Oryzias latipes: one gene and its partners. The protein of the gene in region 3 interacts with the protein of the main gene of each other region in a pairwise test. Links are inferred from orthologs where the notes say so. Each region holds a gene or a part of one and is shown on either strand. Other genes may lie near its edges.

Evidence for each region.
Region 1: the proteins of kinesin-like protein KIFC3 (region 3) and necab2 interact in binary tests that used the Homo sapiens proteins (3 or more experiments, as listed by UniProt). The two-hybrid records come from large-scale screens. The link is inferred for Oryzias latipes from reciprocal best matches to the Homo sapiens genes KIFC3 and NECAB2.
Region 2: the proteins of kinesin-like protein KIFC3 (region 3) and leng1 interact in binary tests that used the Homo sapiens proteins (3 or more experiments, as listed by UniProt). The two-hybrid records come from large-scale screens. The link is inferred for Oryzias latipes from reciprocal best matches to the Homo sapiens genes KIFC3 and LENG1.
Region 4: the proteins of kinesin-like protein KIFC3 (region 3) and zbtb8a interact in binary tests that used the Homo sapiens proteins (3 or more experiments, as listed by UniProt). The two-hybrid records come from large-scale screens. The link is inferred for Oryzias latipes from reciprocal best matches to the Homo sapiens genes KIFC3 and ZBTB8A.
Region 5: the proteins of kinesin-like protein KIFC3 (region 3) and sox5 interact in binary tests that used the Homo sapiens proteins (3 or more experiments, as listed by UniProt). The two-hybrid records come from large-scale screens. The link is inferred for Oryzias latipes from reciprocal best matches to the Homo sapiens genes KIFC3 and SOX5.
Region 6: the proteins of kinesin-like protein KIFC3 (region 3) and clip4 interact in binary tests that used the Homo sapiens proteins (3 or more experiments, as listed by UniProt). The two-hybrid records come from large-scale screens. The link is inferred for Oryzias latipes from reciprocal best matches to the Homo sapiens genes KIFC3 and CLIP4.
Region 7: the proteins of kinesin-like protein KIFC3 (region 3) and med4 interact in binary tests that used the Homo sapiens proteins (3 or more experiments, as listed by UniProt). The two-hybrid records come from large-scale screens. The link is inferred for Oryzias latipes from reciprocal best matches to the Homo sapiens genes KIFC3 and MED4.

What each region holds. Positions count from the first base shown.
Region 1 is NC_019864.2:24,547,758-24,551,257, reverse strand, and holds part of necab2 (N-terminal EF-hand calcium-binding protein 2), read left to right. Parts: intron 1-64; coding exon 65-156; intron 157-2,087; coding exon 2,088-2,116; 3' UTR 2,117-3,500. UniProt on the Homo sapiens protein: May act as a signaling scaffold protein that senses intracellular calcium.
Region 2 is NC_019874.2:19,390,365-19,394,534, reverse strand, and holds the start of leng1 (leukocyte receptor cluster member 1), read left to right. Parts: upstream 1-1,370; 5' UTR 1,371-1,709; coding exon 1,710-1,841; intron 1,842-2,181; coding exon 2,182-2,358; intron 2,359-3,435; coding exon 3,436-3,722; intron 3,723-3,823; coding exon 3,824-4,043; 3' UTR 4,044-4,170. Other genes in the region: tmc4 (transmembrane channel-like protein 4), read left to right, coding at 158-313, 435-513, 634-687.
Region 3 is NC_019874.2:16,688,907-16,693,097, reverse strand, and holds the start of kinesin-like protein KIFC3, read right to left. Parts: upstream 2,801-4,191; 5' UTR 2,422-2,800; intron 2,223-2,421; 5' UTR 2,202-2,222; coding exon 2,103-2,201; intron 1,926-2,102; coding exon 1,829-1,925; intron 1,744-1,828; coding exon 1,610-1,743; intron 1,537-1,609; coding exon 1,275-1,536; intron 1-1,274. UniProt on the Homo sapiens protein: Minus-end microtubule-dependent motor protein. Involved in apically targeted transport. Required for zonula adherens maintenance.
Region 4 is NC_019880.2:16,761,523-16,765,640, forward strand, and holds the start of zbtb8a (zinc finger and BTB domain-containing protein 8A), read left to right. Parts: upstream 1-1,318; 5' UTR 1,319-1,451; coding exon 1,452-1,516; intron 1,517-1,531; exon of another isoform or gene 1,532-1,762; intron 1,763-4,118. Other genes in the region: gale (UDP-glucose 4-epimerase), read left to right, coding at 1-37, 685-749. UniProt on the Homo sapiens protein: May be involved in transcriptional regulation.
Region 5 is NC_019881.2:1,329,743-1,333,242, reverse strand, and holds part of sox5 (transcription factor SOX-5), read left to right. Parts: intron 1-925; coding exon 926-1,121; intron 1,122-3,500.
Region 6 is NC_019880.2:28,155,299-28,159,408, forward strand, and holds the end of clip4 (CAP-Gly domain-containing linker protein 4), read right to left. Parts: intron 1,872-4,110; coding exon 1,517-1,871; 3' UTR 501-1,516; downstream 1-500.
Region 7 is NC_019879.2:14,003,286-14,006,425, reverse strand, and holds the end of med4 (mediator of RNA polymerase II transcription subunit 4), read left to right. Parts: intron 1-25; coding exon 26-112; intron 113-192; coding exon 193-324; intron 325-2,060; coding exon 2,061-2,233; 3' UTR 2,234-2,640; downstream 2,641-3,140. UniProt on the Homo sapiens protein: Component of the Mediator complex, a coactivator involved in the regulated transcription of nearly all RNA polymerase II-dependent genes.

The DNA of each region.
Region 1 (3,500 bases), on a different chromosome or scaffold from region 3:
TTGCAGGCTTTTGAGTGACTCCTGAAATGAATGTGCCATCACCAACTGCTTGGTGTGATTTCAGACATCTTCAGTCGGCTCCCAACAAAGCCTTTCAGCACGTAAAGGTGGACACGCTGTGCCAACCGGAGGCCATGTCCTCTGTAGCCGTGCCGGGTGAGTACAAAAATGAATCCTGTTCAGATAATAATTTATTTGATCAGGACTTTTGACTGGCTGAATCCATACTTCTTTGAGCTGAACTGAGACCTTCTTAGACCTTTTTAAACTCGTGTTTTAACTTTCTAGAAAAGAGAAACTCACTTAACAAAAACAAAATATAGGAAGGATTCAAATTTGACTGGTATATTCTGAAAGAAACTTTTGTTTGAAAAGGAACTTTGAAAATGCAACACAAATAAACTAGATCCATGTCTCCATAAGGATATGGCCACATAACCCAGAATTCCACTGCGCAGCAACCTAAATGCAAGTCTGTCAGCAAATTGGGCAGGTGGCAGCGCGATGGCCAGGGAGGTTTTTATAAAAAGTTAAAATTTTACGGCGACCGGACAATTTTTTGCCCGGGCACATTTCAAGGTTGTCCTGTGGCAGTCCAGTCACAGGCTGAAGGGCCCTCTTTTTTTTATATACCCCCGGGCTTCCTGGCAGCCATCCATAGACATTTGCTTAATTAGAGCTGCTGCTGGCTGGCAATCGGGCTGCCACCGCCCTGTGGCCGCTTAGTTGTTGCCCAATTTCGCAATGGCGTCATCCCCTGCCACCATCAACATTCATGACCACGCCTACTAATTTTAAAAAAGAAAATCGGGTGGCGGGCAGAAATCTTGAAGATTCTACTGATACCTCCCCATCACGTGGTGGCAGTTGCACTTACAACCCTAGCATAAGGAGGATGATCAGTGTTCTCCTTATTACTAGTGTCAAAAATGTCAGAAATTTCACTTTGACAACTTATTTTGGACAATGCTGCCCCCTAGCAGGCAACTGTTATAACTGCAAAACTGTTTGATTCACTCCTGAGAGTGCAGTGTGAAAGCAGATTAAACCAAATGAAAGTGTGACATTTAAATCTTCTTGAAAAAAAGGCCCCTTAGAATAAAGTCAATCTTAACCCTATTTGCAGATTTTCTTTAAAATAAGCAATATATAAAAAATCTGAAAATGAGGTAAAAAAAAGAAAAGAAAAAATAATTCTAGTCACTAAGACGCGCTTTTTCAGACTAAAATTATTTTGCTGTTGAAAAACTTCTTGATGAGGGTATTTTTCTTCCAGGACATTTTTTCTTAAAATAAGCACCTTTTTTTACATAAGATACAGTTTTTACAGTGTGCTGTAATCATAGTACATAAGTGCCTTTAGAATTATGTTTCAGTGACTTTGTTTTTCATATTAACCCTTGTGCTATCCTAGGCACTTTAACATTGGGAGTTGGGTCATCTAGACCCACTAGACAGTGCTCTGAACCTTTTTTCCTCAATGATTTTTGAATCTCACTGGTGTCCATGGATTACATGAAATCTTTCCATCTTTATCCACCTTTGTCATGGTAGGGAGAACACGCCAATGCAAGGGTGGGGTCATCTAAGATAGCACAAGGGTTAAAGAACAAGTGTCTTTTTAAGATCTAGCAGGTTTCACCACATCAGACATTCATTTTACAGCTAGATGTGTCAAGGGAATCGTGGTAAATTTGAGGGGCCAAACCATTTCTCATCCTATTTTTTAAATTTACTGCATAGTTTAATGATGTGTGATAAAAGAGATGCTCCCATCAAAAGGGACCTTTCAAATTTCAATCATTAAGTTAGACCTAGATAGAAGAACTGCAGCTTTGCACAATCACAAAACTGTTTACTGCATCAAAGTTCTGAAAAGACGCCAATTTCTAAAGATACCTGGCATTGAAAGCAAACAATTTAAAACCACACGCACTTGATTGTGCCGATGCTTACGCTCTTCTTTTCCAACATTCATTTTTCATGCATTTGTCCCCATTTTTGCCAAATTTTCTCTAATCCATCATCAATCTGTTCGCTTTCAATGCTGCGGTTCCCTTAAATCTTCCTGTCGTGTGTTTGTGCAGCCGCCTGGTGCAGCGTGAACAGAGACTGAAGCATGAAGACTCAACTACACGCCAAGACTCCTGGACACTCCTCATTCTTCTCAACTCCCCCTCACACCCCCAAAACTCTCCCTCCCCCTTTATCCTTCACATCCTTTGACTCTTTTTGTAAGTACATGTTTACATAGTGAAAAAAATGAATGGTGTTAAATGCAGTGAAAAACAGAAGAAAATGGTGCATTTGCAAAAAAAAAAAGTTTGCTACTTTAGGATTTCATGTTTCAAGTAGCTTTGAGTCACCTTGAAGGAGGAGTTTGTCATGTAGCAGGGGCCCCGAGGACGGAGGTGTTAATGTAGCAGTCACTATTTAGGAGGAAGTCACAGCACACTGCAGTCAATACAGTTTACAGTTGACCACATTACTCTTACATCAGTCCCAAGTTTAAAGCAATTTCCTTTTCCCCTGGTTGATTAATAAAGTATTTAATGGATTGGATTTATCTGCGCTTTTCAAGACACTCAAAGCGCTTACATTGTGTCCATTATTCATTCACTCCTCATTCATACTTGGTGATGGTAAGCTACGGTTGTAGCCACAGCTGCCCTGGGGCAGACTGACAGAGGCAGACTGACAGAGGCGTGGCTAAGGACACAACGACATTTTTTTTTGGCTGGTGGGAGCGGGGATCTAACCGCCAACCCTTCGGTCATTGGACGACCCGCTCAACCACCTGAGCCACTGTCGCCCTATTTACCGGTAATAGTCAAAGGCACCATGACGGTGCATTCTGCCATAGAAAGGCTATTGTAATTGTGAGAAGTTATGCAAAAGTTTATGACACTCAACCCAGAAGTTTGTGGGTGTCGTGTGCTGGGACAAGTTAATGAAGGAGGTGTCATTTTAAATTTTCCTTTAATGATGGCTTCTTGATGAAACAAACCTCTGCACAGGTTTGGATGACTATCATAGTTACACCAGGGAGCTGTGAAAAAATTACAACTAAAGACAAAAAAGGCAAAAACTGGTTTATTACATTTTATGCATAAATAGAAAGTTGTCATCAATAGAGGCTGTTTTAACCTTGTTTGAGAAAACTCACGAGGAGCCCATTGTTACAGAGGGGACATAGGGGGAACCAGAGTTTTACATCAAAACAACCCGACTTGTAGTTCTTATCAGAACTCAGACAACTTTTGACCTACGTAATTTATAAGTTGAAGAAAAGTGTGAAAAAGAAAAATCCATCAGGCATTACTTAAGGATTGGACAGTTATCTTCTATTTTTAGGACATTTTCACAGATTTACAGTTGGAGAAGTGCAGCCTGACCTTGTTTGCTGAGGCAGAGAAGCACTCAGTTGCAGATGTCTCCAACCCTGTTCCTCATGAGCTCCTGCCCTGCTAGTTTTGCAGCTAACCTGGTCACCTGGATCA
Region 2 (4,170 bases), about 2.7 Mb from region 3:
AGTGTGGATGTTTCTTGGTAACATAAATAATACAATTATTTTTCCTACTGGTCAGAAAGTCAAAATTTGGCCAATTTGTCGCAATACAAAAAAGGCGATGGCTTTGTAGAGATTTATGAAATTATGTCTGAGTGACGTTCCGTGTCTGTCCATACAGGATCCATCCTTCTCGGGGATGTGGGCCTTTCCGGTTCTCTGACAACATGTGGTTGATTATACCGACATCTTTCTACAACCTCTCTGCAGCCACACAAGAGTTTCTTTTCTTCATTGGCTCACAGGCGTTTACAATCCCCCTGTTTTCATTATCGGGGTAAATCCATTTTCATTTTACATGAAAATCATTGAACTGTCTTGCACTGTGCAGATATAGATGATATTTTTCTTTGAATGCCAGTTGATTCTTTACCAGCTGACTTGTTTCTCCGTCATAGTTTGGTGATGTGCTACGTCATAGCTTTGTTCTCCATCTATGGGAAAAGTGTTGGACTGCTAAGACTGCAGCTCAAACGGGTAAGTTGATGGTATCTAAAGCAGTATACTAAGAATTGGCCATGAGTTAACAAAGATTTTTTTCAATATTTCCTTTTTTACTTTAACTAATACAGGGTCTGGTCTTTTTTGTTTTTACAGGAGAGCCGGGATAAGCAGTTCTTAGTCAAGCAGATTGAGGAACTAAGTCGGTAGATGACCAAGATACCATTTGATAGATACATATATATACTGTATCTACCACTACAAGACTAAACAGCCTCTGGACAATGTTTAGTCTCTGCAGTACAGTAACATGAGACGATGTCATAAAGAAAGGATGTTTATTAAAAAGAAAAAAAAAGCTTCATATTATATATACATAGTGAAATTACACCAGATTCTTTCAAAATAAAATGTTAAAAATGTTGCACATTAAACATCACTGTTCTTTAAGCACTTTAAAAGTGATCATTTAAACAGGTGTTTTGATCATTTTTGGATATAGACTTTGCAAAGAAATGCATGTAAAAAAATTGAACCTCTAATACTGTTTTAAAAAAACAAGACAGTTGGACAGTGTTTTTGTTAAGACGAGAGCAACCAAAAATAATTGTTTATTTTTGACCCTTTTGAGACTACGGTATGTATTCAAACTTTTTATATTCTTTTCTTTAAATGTTGTGATTTATTTGTATTTTTTTAATGAGAAGTCCTTCGTTTGCTGTTGTTTTTTTTTTTTTTTATTGCTTTTTAAAGTTTAGTCTTGCTCGCTTATGACCATTACATTTATTTCTTTTGAATAAACCAGTTGGCGCTCGCTCCAGCTCCATCTAACGATTCTTCTTTGTAATTGCTTCAAGAGTTGTAACTTTTTTTGTTTACTTCCTGTTTGGGTCTACTACTTCCGGTGGACCACAGCAAACCTGGAATAGATGAACTCTCCAAAAAGTCGGACAGATTTGTTTGTTGTTAGACCTTAGGATATTAAAAAAAATAATACTGTGCTTTTAACGAGCCAGGTTTGCCGTCATGAATGCTAACTTAATGTAGAAAAAATGTAAGCTAATGTTTTAAAATCTAGACAATTGCGCAGATTTTTTGCTAATTTCTGCTTTACTAATCATATCAGACTCAGTCACCTGGCTGATTCGCGTTCCATATTGTTGTAGATCAAAGGCTCGGGTCTGTTCTTCCTCTAAATTTTGAGTTAGCTAACTGCTAACAGTAACACCATCATGAATATCCTTCCGAAGAAAAGCTGGCATGTCCGCAATAAAGACAATGTAGCGCGCGTGCGAAGGGACGAAGCCCAGGCTGCAGAAGAGGAGCGCGAGGCTAAACGCCGCGTGGAGCGCGCGGAGCAAGAAGTATGTTCAGTTTTACCGTTCGTTTTTTGTGTTTACATCTGTCTGTGTTTCGTGCTGGCAGAGTATACGTTAACAGATCACGTGACAGTTTAGCTGGTTCTGAGCTGAAAATGAGTTGGAAACCTCTGCAACTGAGTAGATTATATGTATTTTTTTCCTTTCCTTTTGGGGGGTTGTTATTCACAAATCATATACAAAATTGAGGTTTGAACACTATCATTAAGAAAGTGTGTTGTTCCATCGCTAATATGGAGCTGATGTTTATTTTTTATTGTGTTGATAATCTGAAATAGATTCAAACTTCATAACATGCAAAAATTGTCATGGTTTGTTTCCACAGGCGCGAACAGAATATCTGAGAAGAAAGGCCCGAGCTGGTCTCCAATCAGTGGAAAGCACAGGAGATGATGGGAGTCAAAGCGGAGGACATGTGGAGCATCTCAATCTTTTTCCTTTGGAGGAGTCTTCAGATAAGAAGGGGAATGAAGAGTATCTCAAAGAGAAGAAGGAGGAAACGGTGATTGTGCTGCTACTTCTGTTTATATTCTGAAAATTACAGGTTTATCTGAGTAAACACTCACTAAAAATAATTTAGGAAGTCCATTTTATGGATTTTTTCTTTTCATTTGTTGTAGGAGAGGAATGGTGTACAAATCCCAGGAAATTGATTGTCTGATCCAGCACAGATTAACATCTATTTTTGTTTGTGTGCATAAAATACTATAACTATTGTGTTTTTCATGTTTGAAACTCTCATTCTAATTCTGCATTCAAAGAATGAACACTTTTAACAACCAGACTGCATTTGCTTGACAGTTAGTTTTCCCTTGTTTATCACGGGAGTTATCTTCTAAAAATAACCCACATCAGGTGAAATCCACAAAGTAGAATTCGAGATGTTTTAAGGCTGTAAAACGGAACTTTGTTTCATGTTTAAACTCTTAAAGTTCAAACATTTGTAGTAAAATAAGTCATGTATTATAGAATAAAACAAAAAAATCTGTTTGTGGTTGAAGATTTAGATATTTGGCAAGCTAAACGCATTCTGTACAGGAGACACCGCTTGGAGGAAAGTACTTGACAAAGTCTACTACCAATCAGGATGCAGAACAAATTGAGCTGTTAAAAGAAATCAATGAAAAGAAATATGAAAAAAATCAGCGAGAGCGTGAAAGATATAGCGAGGGACCACTGTACTCAAAAGAAAAAAAACAGGTTGCTCATCTACAAGTTGCAAATGAGTAGCACTCTGCAGCTTTTTGTTGATTTTTAAATCAGTAATGCTAATTTAAAAAGGTAAACATCCACTTTTCCCCACCTAATACACTTGGTTTGCTGTGGTTTCTTATTCTACAGTGGCAAAAACGTGCAGCTGGATCTCATCAGACTCTGTCAGGATTTTTATTTTACCAGGAAGTTCTGATTCTACTTTTATGCAACAATGTTCAGTCATCTATTAGAGAAGGAAAAATGACACAAAGAACAATTTGCATGAAAAGGCAATGGAGTTTATTACAGTTTTTTTTATTCTCCAATACAATTATTTGAAATGGAATATTTTAAATATTGATCATAGCTACTCTGGTTTGTCCAGGAGAAGCAAGAGCGAGCCATCGGCCTGCTTGTTTCTTTAGGCCCCCAACCAGGCACTGAGGTGACTCCATGGTACATGCAAAGCAGCGCAGAAAAAGAAGAAGAAGAATCGGAAAAGAGGAAGGGCATAATTGAAGAGGAAAAGGCGAAGAAAGACCGCAGGCTGAAGGAAAGTTTGGATCCTTTGAAAGATATGAAGAAAGCATTGGGGGAAAGTGAAAGGAGGCACCACAAGAGCAAGAAAAAGGAAAGAGGAGACAAGGGAGAAAAGAGGAGCAGTGGGGAAAGGTAAGAAAGACTTTGGTTGCTTGAATGTCCTTCTAATGATGTTGATTACATAATAACACTGTTTTTTTATGGTGTTTTCTGTTTTTTTTTTGCCTTTTCAGCTCCATGGAAAGATTGCGTGCTGAACGCTTACAAAGGGAAGCTGAAGAAAGGAGAAGAGCCCAGGCTTTGCTTGAGCAGAGGAGTGGGAAAAGGAAGGATGCAACGCGAGAAATGGACGACAGGGACCGGCCTTACAACAACGCTTACTTCCCAGAAATTGCCCGAAAACGACAGAGGCGAGACAGAGAGAGCTGGAGAGATGAGATTCTCAAATCTTGAGTTTCATTATTCTGAACATTTTACAATCAGATGGTTAGGATTCCCTATGACTTTTTTTTTTTCATTTGTCCTGTTCTGTCCATAAAAGGAAAGTCTTGCAGGAACTAGAGGTCATGTCCAACAGCAG
Region 3 (4,191 bases):
GGCAAAAGACAAAAACTTCTTTTTACACACATCCTAGGTGAAAATTTATTTTAAAGTTCAAAGCTTTGAGATCCCTTTTATAATTTGCCAAATCAAACTTGAAAGCTTGCAAGCAGACAAATGGGAATTGAATTATGTCTAAGCACAAAGCCTAAATAAATCAGAGACAATGTATGTGCATGGATAAAATACTTCAATATCTGAAAAAAGAAAGAAAATGGATGAGAACGTTTATTTCATCAAAAAGAAAATGTCTAAATGTTAAAAAGAAATAAATTATTGAACAAATTGCCCTTTCTAACTGCACATTGTTTTGCAGAGTCACGCTGGTCATCACCCCTGAAAACAATCCAAATCTTGTTTTAGAAGGTCTTGAACTAAAACTATTCTTAGCTGCACGTGTAAGTGCATCTGCTGCATAGAAAACAGGACTCAGAGACATGTTTAATTCATCTCAGGGAAAAGCACAGTCACAGTGTGCCGAATATTCTCATCACACTTTCATGAATCCTTATACAGCTGTGGGAATCTCAGCTTGAATGTTCCCACAGAAATGTCTTTTAGGGGTCCTTATGTATGCAATCAAACACATTACCATGCCACCTTGAGGGTGCATCATGTCAGCATTCAGAGACCTGTCACAGACCTCCTGCACCTGGGTAACAAGATTACTACAAGAAAAGTAAACAGCCATGCTCTAGTTTTGTTGATAGTTTCCACTTCGGGGTCAAGTCTGGTCAAATGTGACACAGAACAGAACAAACATGAAACTTTGAGGTCCACAGGGCTGTGCAGTGTTAGCCTGCTGTCTGTCTGTGACATCAGAAAGCTAAATGAAACCACCCTAAGCAGTTTGCTCTGCAGCTGATTCAATTTGTCAATCAAAGGGTGAACAGTGTGTTCCCAGCTCTAAACTAAGCAAAAATAAAAGCAAGAATAACTAGTATGCACGATTTCACCAATACTCCATGCAGTTTCCATACAAAATGTTTTAAGCCTTTAGAGACTTTGTCTGCTCACATTTTTAAGCTGGACTGCAACGTGCATGACTCTCCATCACTGTTTCTATTGCATGAAATTGTTAATATTCATCTATTAAAACAGCAGAAGACATTTTTTGTTCTTTTTTTTATCTGTGAGATTATTATGATAACCAGAAATCTGTGTTCGGGGCCTCGCTAATCTGAGTGCCATTTCTAAGGCAGCTGCTTAACATCTACTTTCTCACCTCTTTTTGCTCCCCACCTTCATTTTTCTCACCCCCCCTCTCTTACCCTCACTTAAAGGGCTGGGGCTCTGCTGCTGGCTGACAGCCTCCTCCAGGCTGCTTATGATGTTGTTCTTGTCTCGGAGGCGCTGGCGATACGAGGACCGTAGGGCCTTCATCTGACGTCTGTGCTGAACACGGTGCCTCTTCAGCTGAACTCGGTATTGATCAGCTTGCTGCTGCAGCTGCTGGAAATGGGAGTACTGCTCCAAAAAACTCAGCAAGTGGGACATCACGGCCACCAGGGGAGACTCCGTCAGCGATGTGGTCTAGAGGCAGGCAAATAAAGTTGAACAGGAATCCAGAAAGCTGAGATTATAGAGCTAACACACGCTTCAGTACCTGAAGCGGGGGGGTCCTCCTCTTCTCAGCCTCTTGCTTGAAAGACAAAAAGGCAGCTAGAGGAGTACACGCCGGTTTGACCAAGTCATCCTCCTCATCCTCATCGCTCAGTTCATCACCGTCACTGCTGCTGCCTGCACAACATCAAATGAACAAAGAACAATGCAGCCAATAAACTCAAAAAGTAAAAGAAATGTACATTTTTTCTATTTGACTCACTTGATTCACTTAAATGAGCACAAGCTTTCTTTCCCATTCTGGGGGTGTGGCCATCACTTCTCTTGCTCCTTGTTTCCATGGTAACAGGTCCTGGCTCCTGAGCACATCATTGCATGCAAGGGTCAACGGCAACAGAGACACCCAAAATAAGCTTTGCAAACACAGACATGCACATGCTTGCAAACAATTGCAGTTTTCTGTAAGGATGCCAGCCATGTAAACAAGAAATAAATGAAAATAAACGTTTTTATTTTAAAGCTGACATTACACATACGTCTGGGGAAGCATCGTGTTCCCCCTGCAAGGTTTCCTCCTCCTCTTTTTTAAAGACGGTGTAGAAGATGTAGACTAAAAGGGAGTAAAAGGCATACATCTTCACGCTGTCCAGTCTCACCTGTCAACGACAAACCTTTTAGAACAATAAAGAGGCACAACTGTCACACTTGTGTCAAATGTCTCGGTAAGAAATGCAGTGGTTATAAAATACAGGCTGACAATGAATCATGACAGCTCAAGAGTTCACTCTGGTTTAAAAACTGTTTTCGGTTTTTAGTCACCTCCAGAATTTGCTTTCTTCTTTAAGTTTTTTTTACCTTAAATGATGTCTTTTGTTCGGTGGCAGTCAGTCCATGCAGCCATTCTGAGGTTGCTGCCACGCTCCATCTGTGGCGTTAGGTTTGCAGCCGTTGTTCTCAGAGCTGCAGCAGCATCGCTGCACTGCTCCGTTTATTCCATATCCTCTCTCCTCCCTCTGTTCCTTGTCTCCACACTGCTCCATCCACAGGCAGCAGCTGCAGGGAGCATGCTCAGTGCGGTTTCCTCGTACTGCTGCAGGGATGTTGTGATAGATTAGACTGACATGGAGACCGACGGAGGTGAAGAAATGAAGCTGATACCACAGCAAGAGCCTGGTGATGGATGAAAAGCAGCAAGTCTTAAATCTTCCTAAAAAGCAAAATGCAACATAAAATAATCATAAAAACAATGTATTTCTTTACCATTGGCATTTACCAAAATCTACTCAAAATATCCAAATTATTTTTTTGTTTGCTTTGTTCTTACTCTTGATTAAGGTTGTGTTGGATTTGTTTTATATTAACAGTAGAACAAAAAAAATAGCAAAAGATCAAGTAGGAATCTGAAAACTCAAACATGTTTGCTGAAGTGAAAAGCATCAAAGATCAGCTTTGAGGTTTAACAGAACTATTTCCAAAAGCTGGAGCAGAGCCAGAGATACTTGCTGATTTACTGCAATGAACCAAAGGAGGAATTTGTCCGCATTCACACTCCTGAAATCCTCAGAGACCATCTGCAGCATCCCCTCCAATCATCTGTAAAAAGAATATCGAGGGCCCTACAAGACAAGGGCTCTAGTGGGGATGATAAAGAACTAAACTAATTTAAGCTGTGGTAAGTTAAAAGGTTAGATCACTGGGTTTAAGCAGAATGTTGGTGAATAAACATGTCAAACAGCTGAAAAAAATGCTGTGTTCAGTGATTATGCTGAGACTGCAGAGCAAAAGTTTCAGCTTTAATAAGCAGGAAATAAAATTACCACAAAGAAATGTGCAACGCTTCCTGTGCCACTTTATTTGGAATGAAATATTTGACATTTAAGTCAACACACAAGTCATTTGTTCAAAGCAATCCAACTAAAATTTATTAGTGTTTTCCCTGCTGAATCATCTCAAAGCTAATGTGTTTGCTCACAGGTTTCTCACTTCCTGCTTTCTATTAATCCATAAACACTGCAAAATGTAAACCTTAAGAAAGGAAAAAAAGGCCCTTGTTTCAATAAAAAAAGTTGTGTAATACACCACGGATTCTTTTGCAGACTCTTTTGATGGGATTCTATGTAGTCCTAATTGAATTGTACTCTTCCAATTATGTGTTTTGCTGGTGATTCTTCATTCTTCAAGGTCTTATGAAGTGGTCACCCTGGTAACTGAGGTGTAATCAGCCACTCCACCAATCTGGAGGTGGTTCATACTCTGTGGTTTTCTGCCTGTTTATGACATATGATTTTTTCTCTTCCTTTTGTGCTGACTAAGGGGTTCACCTTACCTGTCAAGGATCATCATCCTGCTGTAATGCCTCTTTATCATTACAGTTAGCATTTCCTTTACATTAATAAACCCTTGTTGAATTCTACTAATTGGCACATCATTAAATGTTTAGCTTATGTCTTAATTTTGGGAAAATGTTCACCATTTTTAAGACAAAGGAGATTAAAGTTCCTCGGTTATTTGTTGTGTAAAAATGTCCCTTCATGGCTAACAGAAAAATTGCAAACCCCCTAATTTGTGACGTTATCAAATAGTTAAATATTTGGTATTAAAGGATTTTCTGAATAAATGTTAGAC
Region 4 (4,118 bases), on a different chromosome or scaffold from region 3:
CTGGGATGGAAGGCTGAATTTGACATGGAGAGGATGTGTAAGCTCCACTTATTGACTCTAAATTAAAACTGGACGGAGTGTGACGTCACTCATAGAAAGTGACTTACTTCTGGCTCCAGTGAAAAAAGGTTGATTCAATTTTTCGTGACACGGACACTGGCACGTTGGAGCCAGATAACATCAGTAAGCAGTGATGGTCCGAGTCGATCTGAGTGATCATTTCTATGGCAAACCATTCTGGCCAATCAGGAGAAAGCTTGTTGAGAGGCCACACCCCTACCACTTGAAAGTGGGCTCGGGAGAATCTGTCAATCAAACGTTCAATCTGAGACCTCTGAGTCATCTGATTGCCCAGTTTAAAACTTAAATAACTACAGAAAAAATAGGATTAGCAAGAACATGTTAAAAAAAGGTTTTAGGGCAAAAATGGTTATTCTGCCAGATATAATGACTGAGTAATAGCTACTTTATTTTACTATAGAAGTCTATGGCTTCTTGGAGTCAGCAGGTACTTCCTGTTTAGAACCCAAGCAGGGATGGGTACCTCAGTCCAGTTCTCATATACAGTCAATGGCTCCATCACACCGTGCAGTCTGATAATCTGCAGAAAATACATTCAATTAGCTGCGATCATTTTTCAATAATCTGTGCCATCTTTATTTTTTCTTCCTCATTTGCATTCAGGTGCAGATCTGTGGCGCTGGCAGTCCATGAACCCCACTGGATTTTCCAAGAGCACCAGCTCTTGATGAATGCTGGGGGGTGTTATTGATTATTTTGTGTTAATCCACCAAAGCAGATACTATTTTTTTGTCATGTCATAAATGCAACATAAGGCCTCAAATTTGAATTTCTTTCTATTATTTTTGGAATTTGTAACTAAAATCTATTCAACAGATTTTTTGTCTTTATTTGGTTGTTTCTGAACAGCAGGGATTCTTTTCTTAACTTTATAATTATGGAAGCCATAAAAATGATGAATAAAATAATTTTCTAACAGTAAAATTGTGCTTTCTTTTGAAATGTATTAATTGGAAAAACCCCTAAGGACATATTCTTTAAGATTATTGGTGCTGTATTTTTTTATTTTTTGTGGGGTTTTTTTTTTTTCATACGGATGGAGAAAGAAATATGTTGTAATAAGAGGATACTGGAGGAAATCATGGTAAGGTGAGCATGAATTCCTGCGTGATCTCGAGTGGGTATGGTCGTTTTTAGGCTGAGGTACGTGCTGTTCCTGTAAAAAGGCACTGGGGCTTTAAATGGCTCCCTGAACCCTCGGGCACCCTGTTAATAAACACCCACGTCAGCACGGAGCTCCAGTCTCTCTGACCGGGTTTCGGTCTTTAGGGCTGAGCAGGAAGTGCCTGGCTGTGGACCCTGGACGGGGAGAAATAAAAAGCGGAGGGGGAGGGTCAGAAAAGGCACAAATAATCATTTAAATAAAAAAAATGGATATAGAGGTAGATGCAGGGGCAAGTAGAGTGTGCCGGGCGGCGGGTGAATCCAGTCACCAGTGAGTATCGATGCTTTTCTGACGGGGTATATATATCAGGGCGTCAGCGGGTCCTTGCCGACACCTCGCGCCTGCGAAGGCGTCGCTCGCTCCGGGCAGCAGGCGAAAGCTGCTCGCTGTGCTCCGGACCTCCGGAGAGGAGTGGGGGCGCCTCTCGCGGATGGAAACGGGCGTTTGTTTCATCAAACTGATTCGTGGTGTGGACATGTTTATCTGAGCTCGCGGCGTGCTTCGCCGCTGGAGGAGGTCGGTGTCTTTTCTTTTTTCTTTTTTTTCCATTGTGTGCTGGCTGGAGCCTGAAGTGGGCGTCGCTCCAGGACAGACGGGGCTGCTCCGGATCGCCGCTACCCGCTTTCCTCTCGTAGGACTGCAGCGTTCTCGTGTCCGTTTGGAGGTCGCGCGCGGCCGAACGAAGGGGAAATTGCTCGATTAACACACGAGACTCGGTTCTGAGTGTGATTTGAAGTACCGGAGTGTTTCAGGCGGGTGTTTCGCCGAGGGTTATCGGGCGCTGCGGAGCTTTTCGAGGCGTATCGCGATAATGAAGGACGCATTTAAATCCATCAAGTCAGTCCAGACAGGAAAAATGACTTGCTGGGTTTTTATAAAGTAGTCTGTCTTTCAAATATGAGCTTTAGGCAAATTATTAGTATGCCTTTCGTTGTTTTTTTTAATGGCTTCTATTAGCTGCAGAAATCTTTATTTATAACTGTACAGTATATTTGATTCATCATTCATTTAACCAACAGGGTTAAATAAAGGGTTTGTTACCCGCCCTTCCTGATAGAGTCGGGTGTAATCCATTATAAAGCATTTCCTGATTGATGGATCACCCAGCCAATCAGAGCGCAGAACGGTGGGCCGGTCTTCCTTCAACATGATCCACTGCACAAAGATGCTGCCAGAGTAGAACTTTAGGACATCTTATGCTTGTTTTTTAATAGCTACTTAATTACTGACATTTCTATGGAGCCCTGAACCCGCAAATTTATATTTTGTGCACAAATTTGAGGATCAGTTCCTTCTACTAATTTGTGGCCTACAAAAACAACATTCTGTGGGAAAAATACATGTGTGCACAAAATGCTAACAAAATATGGCTTTAAAATACAAATTTCTGTGCAATAAATACACATTTGTGCACACATTATGCCAATTAGTGTACACAAATTTGTGCACACTAATTTTTGGCCACTAGTTTTTCCTACAAAATTATAGTTAAATATTCATTTGTGGCCACGAAATAACGGAGCCTTGGAAATGACATTACAAAAATAAATAAATGGTTCCCTCACATGTATTTTTAGTTTTTTTTTGCACAAATTAGCATTTAGTGGCTACAGAATAGTATTTCATGGGGACAAATAAGAGTTTTAAGGGGGAAATTAGCATTTTGTGGCCAAATATTTGTATTTTGTGGCCACAAATTAGTAATGTAACTTGAAGATGCTAAAATACTATTTTATTTGCTAATATTAATTTTTGGCCATAAATTAGTATTTTCTACACACAAAGTAGCATTTTTTTTGGCCCACAAATTAGCATTTTGTGCGCACAAGTTAGAATTTTGAGGCAATGAATTTGTATTTTTTGGGCACAAGTTAGTATTGGAACTTGAAGATACTGAAATACTCATTTGTTTGTACTAAAATGTAAAAAAATAATAAAATGGTCATTTGTCTACACAAAATACTAATTCATGGTTACAATTTTTTAAATGAGTAAAAATTTTGTTTCATTTAGAGCTCTGTACATTTCCCCCGTGCCTTTTAAAATACTAAGTTGTGACTACAAAATGCTCATAAATTACTAATTTGTATCCACAAAATGCTAATTTGTGACCACAAAAGGCTTATTTGTGTGTACAAAATACTAATTTGTGGCCACAAATGATATATTTGCAAACATGGCGTAGTCTGAATATGCAGTCCTGGGGGGTATTCCAGAAAGCAGGTTATGCTAGCTCCCACGGTAAGTTTGAGGCTAAGGAAGTTGATAATCTGTTCCAGAAATGGAGGTATGTTTCAGGGTATGTCAAGTTGCCATGGCAACTCATGCTCATAACATAACCTGGGGCCTCATTTATAAAACTTTGCGTAGGATTTGCGTCAGAAGTGGCGTACAGATGAAACATAGGACGTGCGTACGCACAGAAATATTCAGATTTATAAAACCGTGCGCACGCACATCCTACGCATCTTTCCCTTAATAAATCACAATCAATTCTAAATGCAGCGCAGCTTTTGCGGCTTCATGACACGCCCATAGTTGCCCATAAATAGTCCGCGAAACGCCCACAAATGAATATTCATGGATTGCGAAATCATGGCAAACACAGAGAGGAAATGAAAAAAAACGTAACTTCACTCAATGTGAAGTAGAAGTTATCGTTGGTGAAGTGGAAAAGAGGAGGAAATGTTGTTTGGAGGGCACAGTGTGGGCATTACTAATGCCAAAAAGGCACTTGAGTGGCAAACGGTGGCAGACGCCAAATGCTGTAGCCTCACAACCTCGGACCGTGGCCGAAATAAAGAAGGAATGGTCGGACATCAAAGTCGAGGCATAAAAAACGTCTAGCGCTGCATCGCCAGAGTGTCTCTGC
Region 5 (3,500 bases), on a different chromosome or scaffold from region 3:
ACGCATGTTCAAGAACGCACTAAATGCAGGTTCCCATGGTGTTCACACTGGACTAGCTTTTTGTTTTTCCCATGTCTGCCACCTACAGTTGGAGTAGGTTTGGTGCAAATCTCGTGAATCTTGCTCCAGGCTTTTTCTTTCACCTCTCCATTCCAATATATGAAAGACTTGGTGTCAAAGACTTCTGGCCGGACACAAACCACATTTATAAAATTCTCCTTCATGTTCAATTTTCAAACAGTTGGCAACTCTGTGGAATAAAGGGGACGTCATCGATACGTCACCACTGGTTGGTCAAAGTTCGTCCTGGTTTAACTGTCAACGTGCGTTCAGTGGCCATGCGTTTTGTACGCAGACCCTGAAAACGGTCGTAGTTTTGAACGCGGAATCCCGACATGCACATTTACATGCATTTATGTTCGCGGTTCATCGTGTGGTCACTTGAACCGCGTCAGGCGGTGAGAAGGTTGCTTTAGAAAACGTTGCTGTGTTACCGATCACAAATAAGACAAGTGTTCATGATCAAGAGTCCTAAAACCAACCGTGGGATCAAAATTTGACCCAACATGTCTGATGTTGGATTATGAGACTTGTACCATCTGGATCAAGTCCATACCAGTCTGGGATGGCAATGCAAACCTTCGCAGAAGACTGCAGACAGGTTTCCGCCATGCTGTGAGCCAACAGTACAACACAACACACAGAAATAGTACCCATATACCAGTCTGGTACCAGGGAAAGGCCACTGGTGAACTCCTTTTGGGAAACCGGTTCCATCCCCACATATCTGGCCCTCCTCTTGCTGCCACAGCCTCAGCCGTCCAGATGTCAACTTACCATATCATCTTTTAAATATTGCTCATTTTTCTCCCTGTGTGTTTTTTCCTTCCTCTCTCTTGCCTTCTATCTCCTACTCCTTTTCCAGGATGTCTTCCAAGCGACCAGCCTCTCCATATGGGGGGACAGATGGAGAGGTAACCATGGCAACCAGCAGACAGCGAGTGGAGGATGAGGAAAACGAGGGACTGGGCGGTGTCATCCACCTCCCTCTGGCCTCCTACTGTGGCAAGGTGTCCCCTCGCTCGCCCTCTAACCGAAATCTGGAAAGCCCTGCCAACACGGTAAGACATTGAGTTTGGAACGGTTGATAGGACAACATCGGATAATGGACGTTTTGGAACAGGGGTTAGACCGGGAAGTCTGTTGGAAAATTTCCATTGAGTTTTCCCATCCTAAAATATTAGTGTAGGGCAAACTCAGACTGCAGAAACACCAGTCTGCCCGTTTTGTGGCTTCATTGGCTCGTTGCCTCTACACCATAAAAATGGTCAGACTATGACCTTGTGGTCTTGTGGTGTCATCATCATAGAAGTGGAGAACTGGCATTGAATTATGGATGTTTAAGCTAGAAACACACTTTGTTTACGCTTAGAGTTTGCCATGTTTTCAAGTGTATTGAGAAGTTCTGGGGATGAAACCTAAAGATGTTTCAGACATTTTCATTTGACTAAGAATCCAAAACGGTGCATTCGCCATCCAGCCTGGATCTAAAACACCTGTTTGCTTTGGTAGAGCGTCTCTGACGATAAAAGCACTTCTTAGCAACGAGGAAACCAAGTTGAGTGATTGACATTGTTGCAGTCTGGTTCTCTATAAAGGACAAAGAAATCAACAGAAGAGTTGGATGATGGGAGGTCATCAGGGCTAAAGTCCAAAACTACATTTCTAGGTGTTCTTGCGTTTTGGTACCAGCTGTTGCCTTAAATTCAGTTGTGGGATTGTAGAATTTGAGTTGCCAAATGTTGGTGCTGAGTAAATAAAACCTGGTTTGTTGTAGCTGGAGGACTGGTCAATCACTTTAGAGTTGGGTGTAAATACGTGCTAAATGACACACTAGCGACGTAACAGCTAGTGACACTTTTTACTCTTCTTGTTTGACTTTCAGCTCACTCATACTATGGAATTTAGATGTTATTGTTCAATAAACGCCATGAAACGCAGCACATCTGCAGAGGAATTTGCTGTTTTTCTTGGATCAGGAAAACAGCCTTAACCTCACCTTGAAATGGGACGATTGCTGGCTGACAACGATCGTTGACCTTTACCCCAAACCGACAATAAACGCTTGTAAGCAGTAAAACAATGAAATTGTGTTTATTGTCTGTAATGACAAGCTAATCCTGCAATTAGCCCTCTGATTAGGCTGCAGGCTCCGCCCAGGGTGAACTCCACCAGTGCAGCAGGTGCTGACTGTAAAGCCATGCAGACGTGCAGACTTGTTGTCACTCGGACGCTCCGGGTTATCTGTTACTTTTGAGGGCAGTGATTAGATTACTGGTGGTACATTTAGATTTGAGGGGGGATACACAATTGGCCTTATCAGTGTTCGTTTCAGGAGATTGCAAACGGAAAAGTTCTTCTGCCACGTAACACACCACAGCGTTGTCGTCCTTTGCTGGACAGCAGAGAAGAGGTTGTTCGTAGAGAGTGGGTGGATGGTGCAATCGTTGATTGGGGTTATTAAGTGTGCGCCAGGGCGTGTGTGTTTTACAGATGGACTTTACTGACTCCTAGCTAGCTGTAAACACGTCTGTTATTATGCATTGTTTTTGTGGGATGAGGGTTAACAACAGCAATTCCTTCACAGCTGACTTGTCAGGTGATGAAAACAAAAGAAATGAAGGTGTAGTCCTCTGGCTCCGTCTCTGTGGTGGGGGTCTGGTAAGGGTGACAGGGGGGCTCTTGGGTGCCTGGATTGGCCGGGCTGCTATATTTTTGTCTACCCCTGGCTCTGGGGTGTGGGTGGGGTGACGGGACTCCTGCCTGTGCTGGAGCATCCAGTGTGATGAAGGTACATTCTGAGAATTCATTCAAACTATACCCATGCCCAAATATGGGCATTGCATTGTTTTTACACCCCTGTCTGTGTGCTTAACCTCACGTCAGTGGTGCGCCCTGTGAGGTCAGTCTTCTATGTAAGAATACACTTCAAACCTCTACATTGTTGTGTGCAGACTATTTGTTGTTGTGTTGATGTGTGTATGTGACAGCTAAGTCATGTAGTTCACTTATGACACTCTTATGCTATGACTCCCCCACCCACTCTATCTCCCCCTTCTTAACCCCTTACCCCCCTCTCTAACATCCCACTCCCTCTCTCTTCTTTTTTTCCGTCCAACAAGGAATGCAAATAAACATAATTATCATAAATCAAGCTTAGCCTCAAATACAGAAGGGGTTTATTCAAATATACACGTCGTGTGTGTGTAGATCCATGAACCCCTATAGTGACAGGAATCTGTCCAACACTAGAGGCCTGATCTGATCTGCTCAGCTGTTGGACTGAACGGGTTAGAAAAATAAAAAAGACATGAAGAAAGAGTTACCGAAAGCTGTTGGGGGGGGGGGGGTTAGACCCCGAGGCGATTGGGATAGGGGCGTGTTCTGTGCAGAGCTGTCAGAACTGGATGGAGGGGCCACATAAGTGGCTCATCAGAGAC
Region 6 (4,110 bases), on a different chromosome or scaffold from region 3:
TTCCTCTTCCAGCTGCATGTAGACAATCGTTTACAATCGCTTACAGAATGTAAGTGTGAATTTAACATTTTCATCCATGAAAGGTTTTTCTCAGTTTTGGATGAGAGACACATAGTTTTTCCCTTTAAAACTGTTTCCATCTTATAAACCTTCTGTGATTTCACATAGGCTCTTTGGCCCTAAAAGCCCTCCATCACCATCAGCTGCACAATCCCATCTTCTGCACCAGTTTATTCTACAGTTATTACTGTTTACTTAACGCAAAACCTTAATATTTGACTTCTCCCTGGATCAAATAGTAACATGTAACAAGGTGCAGGATTTATTTCCAAGAAAACAAATAATAAAGTGTGCCAATCCCACTCAAATTCTAATCTGTGTGCACAGGCTACTGACAAAATAGCAATGGTTCCTTCAGACAGAGCTTCCACAGCTTTGACACCATCAGCAAAAAAAACCTGGAGAAATCCACAGGGAACAAATAAAAAAGACACAAAATAAACAGAATATAATCTTTTTTTATTCTTTTAACATATACTTTTCCTTTATCAAATGAAGAAACATATACATTTAAAAAGAAAACGTTTGAATGTTTCAGGTTATTTTTTTTACCCTCAAGTCTTTCCATACTCTTCTGACATTTTTCTGATGATGGATGACATAAATAAAGAATAGCTCTCCATGGATAGCTCTTCTATTGTTCACCATTTTTGTTGCACCGCTACTGTTAAGTGGGGGTGTTGGGGGCTGTAAGCCAGCAGGACAGCTTGAAACTAAGCTCTCAGTAACAAGGAAGGGGAGGTGATCTGAGTTGCTGAGCGTCAACGGTCCGCCCACAGCTCAGAGGTGAATTTCTAATGAACTCCTGCCGTTCTGCAGAAATTATGTCCTAGAAAACGACCCAGGTTTTTGGATTTTGGCTACAAACGGCAAAATCCTAATTAAAAAACAACAGGGAAAATAGATCTAAAGATGTTCGCAGTGGTTCTTTACAGGAACCTCCATAATCTGATTATTAGCTTTATTCCTGGACTACTGGAATCAGACTTGCGATGGTTAGGAATTATTTCTATAGTCTTGCTGATCAGATTAATGCTGCTTTGTGTTGACATGGTCTGGTCCTCATCAACCTTTTTTTCTCCACATTAAAGCAGAATATAAAACCCAGTAGTGACTCAGGTTTCTTTACATCCTCAAGCTGGAAACCAACCAGTGTGCAGTTTTTATTTAATGAAAATACAATTTAATACAATTTACTTCAACTACAGAAATATTATAACGTTAAATTTTTCTAAATCTGTCATAAGGATGATTTTATTGCAATCAGATTGAAAGTAGTGCATCTTAGTTTCTGAAGACTGTGCCAATCCTGCATACCAATTCTTCTTTGACTTTAAAGTGCTTCAACATCTTTTAGGTCTAATAAGCAAATATTCTGTGACTGAAGCCTCAGAAAGAAAAGAACCAAAGAATTGAGGAAAAAAGAGAAAACTTAAGCATCAAGTTGAAAAAGGCCTCAGCGGCCATCATTCACCAGACGTGAACCGTTAATCCCCCGATACGTGACTCTGCTGGGACGGACCAGGACACCGTAGCCGGGCCGACATGTGAAGTAACGCCGGCCGCCCACAGAGCCGTCGTTTTTACCTTTCGGGCTTCTTAGTTCCAGACCCAACCAGAGGCCCGGAGCGAAGTCAGCAGTGCCAAAGTAACGGATGAATGCCATGTCATTTGCACTGTTCAAGAAGACCTGCATGCCCAGTCTGAGGCGCACCTGTCCATCAGACAGTAAGGGGCTGGACCCTCTGCTGATCCCACCGCTGCCCCCGCTGAGGTGGTTGGAGCGCCGACGAAGAGGATTGGAGTGGTTCCTTTTGTTTTGGTGAAAGAACACACAAAAAAGACAAAAATGATGTCATAAATAATGCGCACAGAACTATAAGGCACATTGAATAAGACAAAGGAGTCCATCAGTCAGACTTTATTGATCCACCATGGACGACCCAGGCCATCCTCTCCACCCTGTTCTGGACAAACAGCTTCTTCTCTAAGAGGCTCAGACAAAAACTGTCCGATACCAGAAAGCCTTCCTACCCAATACAATAACACTTTACAATAACTCACAGTGTAATAGATAACTTTTGCACATTTTTGCCTGTACTGTTTCTAAATAGTTTTTAAATTATACCAACTTATTTTTTTACAAAAATTTTATTTATATATTATTCTACTTTCTTTTAAGATTACAATGCTAGTGTAACGCACAAGTTTCCCACATGTGGGATCACTAAAGTACTTCTGATTCTGATTATTAACGGTGTTCACAGTAACTGTAGGACAAAAAATCTACCTATATTATAAATGTTATATATATATATATATATATATATATATATATATATATATATATAATTATAAATGTTATATATATATATATATATATATATTAGGGCTGCACGATATGCGATATTGGTGATTAATATTGCGATAACGATATAATTCACGGTATATAAACAAATAGCAAAACAACCAAAAACATCATCTCCATTTCACTGCAACAGTTTACAAATGATACTCCAAATGACCCTCGTCGACGTAGGAGGCAAACATCTAACATAAAAGGGCTCATCTGATTGATCAACAACGTGAACGGGTCCTTCCGATTGGTTAAATGCATAAAGGGATTTATTTCATTTGTTCAATATTTCAAGCTGCCATGAGATTGTTTTAGCACATTTAAGGTAACCATTTATTGCGATTTTCGCTGTCTTTTGCGGTATGCATATTGCACAGCTTAATGTCGCGATAACGATAAATTTGCGGTATATTGTGCAGGCCTAAAATATATATATATATATAAATGTATGTACAGTGCTCAGCATAAACAACTACACCCCCTTTAAAAAGTACTAATGTGACCCTTGTGCTATCCTAGGCACTTTACCATTGGGAGTTGGGTCATCTAGACCCACTAGACCAGGGGTGGGCAATTCCAGGCCTCGAGGGCCGGTGTGTCTGCATGATTTCCAGATAGTCTTGCCCTACTCATGGCTGATTACCTGGTTCAGGTGTGTCCAGCCAATTAGAACATGCCAGAGTAGGGTATGCTGGAAAACATGCAGGAATGCGGCCCTCAGTGCCCACCTCTGCACTAGACAGTGCTCTGAACCTTTATTCTTCAATGATTTGTGATCTTCACTGGTGTCCATGGATTACATGAAATCTTTCCACCTTTATCCACCTTTGTCATGGTAGGGAGAACACGTCAATGGAAGGGGGGGGTCATAGGATAGCACAAGTGTGAATCATCTAGTATTTTGTATGAGCTCTGTGATATTTTAGGACAGCACCAATTCTTCTAGGCATGGAATGAACAAGTTGGCCACATATTGCAACATCTACCTTTTTCCATTCTTCAAGAAGAACCTCTTTTAGAGCCTGGATGCCGGATGGTGAGTGATTGTCAGTTGAGCAGCAGCACCCATGCAGCCCCACATCAGGACACTGCCACCACCATGCATTTTTCTTTGAAATCATCACCTTTGCGACGCCGTACAGTTTTAAAACCATTAGTTCTATTAACGGTGATCTTTGTCTCTTCACTCCAGAGTATTGAGACCCAGTAGTCTTCATCTTTTTCAGCATGGGCCGTAGCAAAATCTAGGCGTGCTTTTTAGTGCATGGGCTTTAGCAGAGGCTTCCTTTGTGGATGATAATCATGCATGCCATTCCTCTGCAGTGTAAAACAGTCACACTAGTTGGCTTTTTCTACTGCTTCAGCTAACTGCAGTGAACCTTCATGGTGATTTTCTTGAACCCTTGTCATCAGAGGACTCACCTGTCGAGATGATCGTCTCTGTAAGATGGTTGCACGTCCATCTTTCTTACAGTTTTGGATCACTTTTGCAATAGGATTTTGACTGATATGTAAAGCTTTGCTGCTGATCTTGTAGCCCTCACCTTTTTTGTGCAGATAAATAATTTCCTTTCTCAGATTTTGTGACATTTCTTTTTCATGGGGAGCCATTGCTGATAGCATGAAATGGGAAGGACTTTTCTTTATTAAAAAATGCACTTGTTTGCAATCAATGGCCACCTTTGTAGGTGTAT
Region 7 (3,140 bases), on a different chromosome or scaffold from region 3:
AATTGTTTTTTTAACTTTTTTGCAGGAAGTGTCTCATCAGAGGAAATCATAAAGTATGCTCACAGAATCAGCGCCAGTAACGCTGTGTGTGCTCCGCTGAACTGGGTTCCAGGTATTAAACTCTGCACTGCAGCAAAAGCTAACCTTTTGCACAAGTCCTGTTTTAACTGCTATTCGCTATTCGGTTCCCAGGAGATCCACGCCGACCTTATCCAACTGACCTGGAAATGCGCAGTGGGATCCTCGGACACATGGCAAACCTGCCCAGCAATGGTGTGAACGGACACCTGCCAGGAGACGCTCTGGCTGCTGGACGGTTACCAGGTATGACCTCTGACCCTGCAAGACAGCTGATCCTCCGATTAAAATGTTTTAACTTCTGTTTTAATTTCAAACAGGAAGCAATTTTAATTGTTTTCAGGATATTTTTTCTTTATTGCAAATTATTCAATTTCAACAATTCCACTCACGATTATTGAGAGTGGTCACAATAGAAATTTTGACTGGTTCCAACATGGTGGTGTTTGCATCAGGAAAAAAATAGCGACTGGATTGACGTCACTTGGTTGGAACCAGAAGTAAACCATTTTCTATGGGTGATGTCACCCTCGGTCGCTTCAGTTATCATAGACCAGGGGTGTCCAACATTTTGCAAGGAGGGCCAGATTTGGTGAGGTGAAACAGTGTGAGGGTCAAATACATTTGAACTAAAATGACTGAATTCCACATTTGAAGACAAGGAATACAATTAAGAAAAAGTCTGTCTGTAAAATAAAAATTGATCAACATTAAATCATTTTATTCACTATTTAATGCTAACTGTAAAATTTTGAATTTAAGTTGTTTGAATAAGAAAACTTAACACAAACAGTTATCTATTTTAGTACAAAATGCAAAAAAAAAAAAAAACAATGATGATTGGTCAGACTGATGACATCTGATTAAGCCTCCAATGAATGATTGGTGGAGACAGTTAAAGGGGCGGGACTTTTCCGAAAACACGAATGGATGTTGGAAAGATAAACTTTTTTATGTTGATCTAACTTAATTGTTTGCTTCAGTTAAAATAAATCATTTTTTTAAGTTCAGTCAACTTAAAAATAAAACATAGTTATCAGACAGTTATTTTACTTTCGTTCAAACTAATTCAATTAAGTAGGTGTAACTTTGGTCCAGTTGCGCTGCAGCGCAAGGAATTGTGGGATACCATTCCCTTTGCCTGTCTGGATGTATTGGGATTTAAGTGTGGGGATTTGTCTAAATGTATTTTGTTGTCTAGCTGATTTACTCTGTTTTGCCTAGTTATTTTATCCTGGTATGTTTATTTTTTTCTGCACCATGATTGAGAGGGAGGGAGAGGAGAATGACTAAATCCATTGTGCTGAATATCGTTGTAAGATCAAAAATGAAAGTTGGTGTACATAATAACTGAATTCAGGCTTCATAGTGTGAATCCACACTAGATAATTCATGTTAATGTTCTTCAAATGAGAATATCTGGAGGCTCAAACTTAGACATATAAGAATTCAAGAAATACAATAAATCAGGATGGAAAAACATTAAATTGAAATAAATAAATAAATAAACGCCCCTCTCACCCTCCGGGTGGTTTCTCCTCCAATTTCAGGTCCTCTACCAGAGGCCTGGGAGCTTGGGGGTCCTGCCCAGTATCTTAGCTGTTCCTAGCACTGCGCTTTTCTGAACTGAAAGGTCTGAGGTCTTTCCAGGTATCTGTGGTAGCCACTCCTCCAGCTTGGGGGTTACTGCCCCGAGTGCTCCAATTACCACAGGCACTCACTTTTCTATCCATTGAAAATACCTTGTTCTCGCTTTGTACGCGCGTTAACTCAGGGTTACCGGGAGGAGGTTAATTAACCAAACTCATACCTGGTGTTTTGGAACCGACAAACCCAAAGTAAGCAAGTTTAGGCCTACTTAAGCGAGAGTTCAGGGTCAAAGTCAGGTTAAGTTAACATTGCTTTCAGGAATACCTCTCTGAGGTGGTCCTTTACAGGCTTGACATTTGGAAAAACAATCCTTTTGTGTTGTGTTTCTTCAGACATCTTGACCCCTCACTACCCCTGGCAGTCCTCGGACGTCTCTGCAGGGATGCTGCCTCCTCACCACGGCAACGATTTCAGCCTGGAGCCTCCAGGCCACAACAAGGAGAACGAAGATGATGTTGAAGCCATGTCAACAGATTCCTCCAGCAGCAGTAGCGATTCAGACTGAAACACTGTTTTCCTGAGTACTGGCATTACACAAACATTGACAGACCCAGCGAGATGTGTTTGTTGATAATCTGAGTAAAAACTTGCTTCAGTTCCCTTTTTCCTGTTCGAACTGGTATTTCCTCTGGTTTGTCAGACCTGGAAGAAATCAGTTTGCTTTCATGCCTTTTTAGCTTTTTATTTTTGTCAAGCACCTGTATCTGATAGATGGAGATGGTGTGAGCCATTTCCTGTGTTTTGCATGAATTACTAACTGGGCAAATGGAAAAAAAAGCTTTAAAATTCTTGGTTTGCTCTTCTGTGGCAGAAAACAGTCATTGAAGTATAAAGTAAAACTTTCAGTTGATGTTGTGTAAATACTTTTGTATATACTTAACATTGTAAATAAATACTTTTGGTTAAAACTTGTCTTTGCTTTTTGTGTTTTGTTTTGGAAAAAGTAAAAATGTTACAGCATCAATTGCTACATTTTATTTGAGGACAATTTTATCTTTATTTAGATGTTAATTCAGATGTAAGGAGTACTTCTGTGCTTCAGACAGAAGCACTGTGATTCAAAACAAGCTTAATGACAAAGGTTTCATTTAAAGGGTATTAACCATCAACCTCCCCAAAAAGTGCAGCAGCATTTTATGAAATAATTAAAATACAAGTATTTTTTTAGATCATTGGTATAAAAAATATTTCCATGATAAATCATAACTATTTTAAAAAAAATGTATGAAGGGTAAATGGTCACACTAGCAGTGACGCTGTTTGCAATACGATGCTGCCTTCAAGAACTCCTTGTAAATCAGAAACATTAGTATGTCAGACAAAGATTTGTCTGAAGCTATTTGAGTTAGTTAAACTAACCAAATGTATTAATGGGAAAATGATCAATGTTTATACACATGCTAACTTTTGAA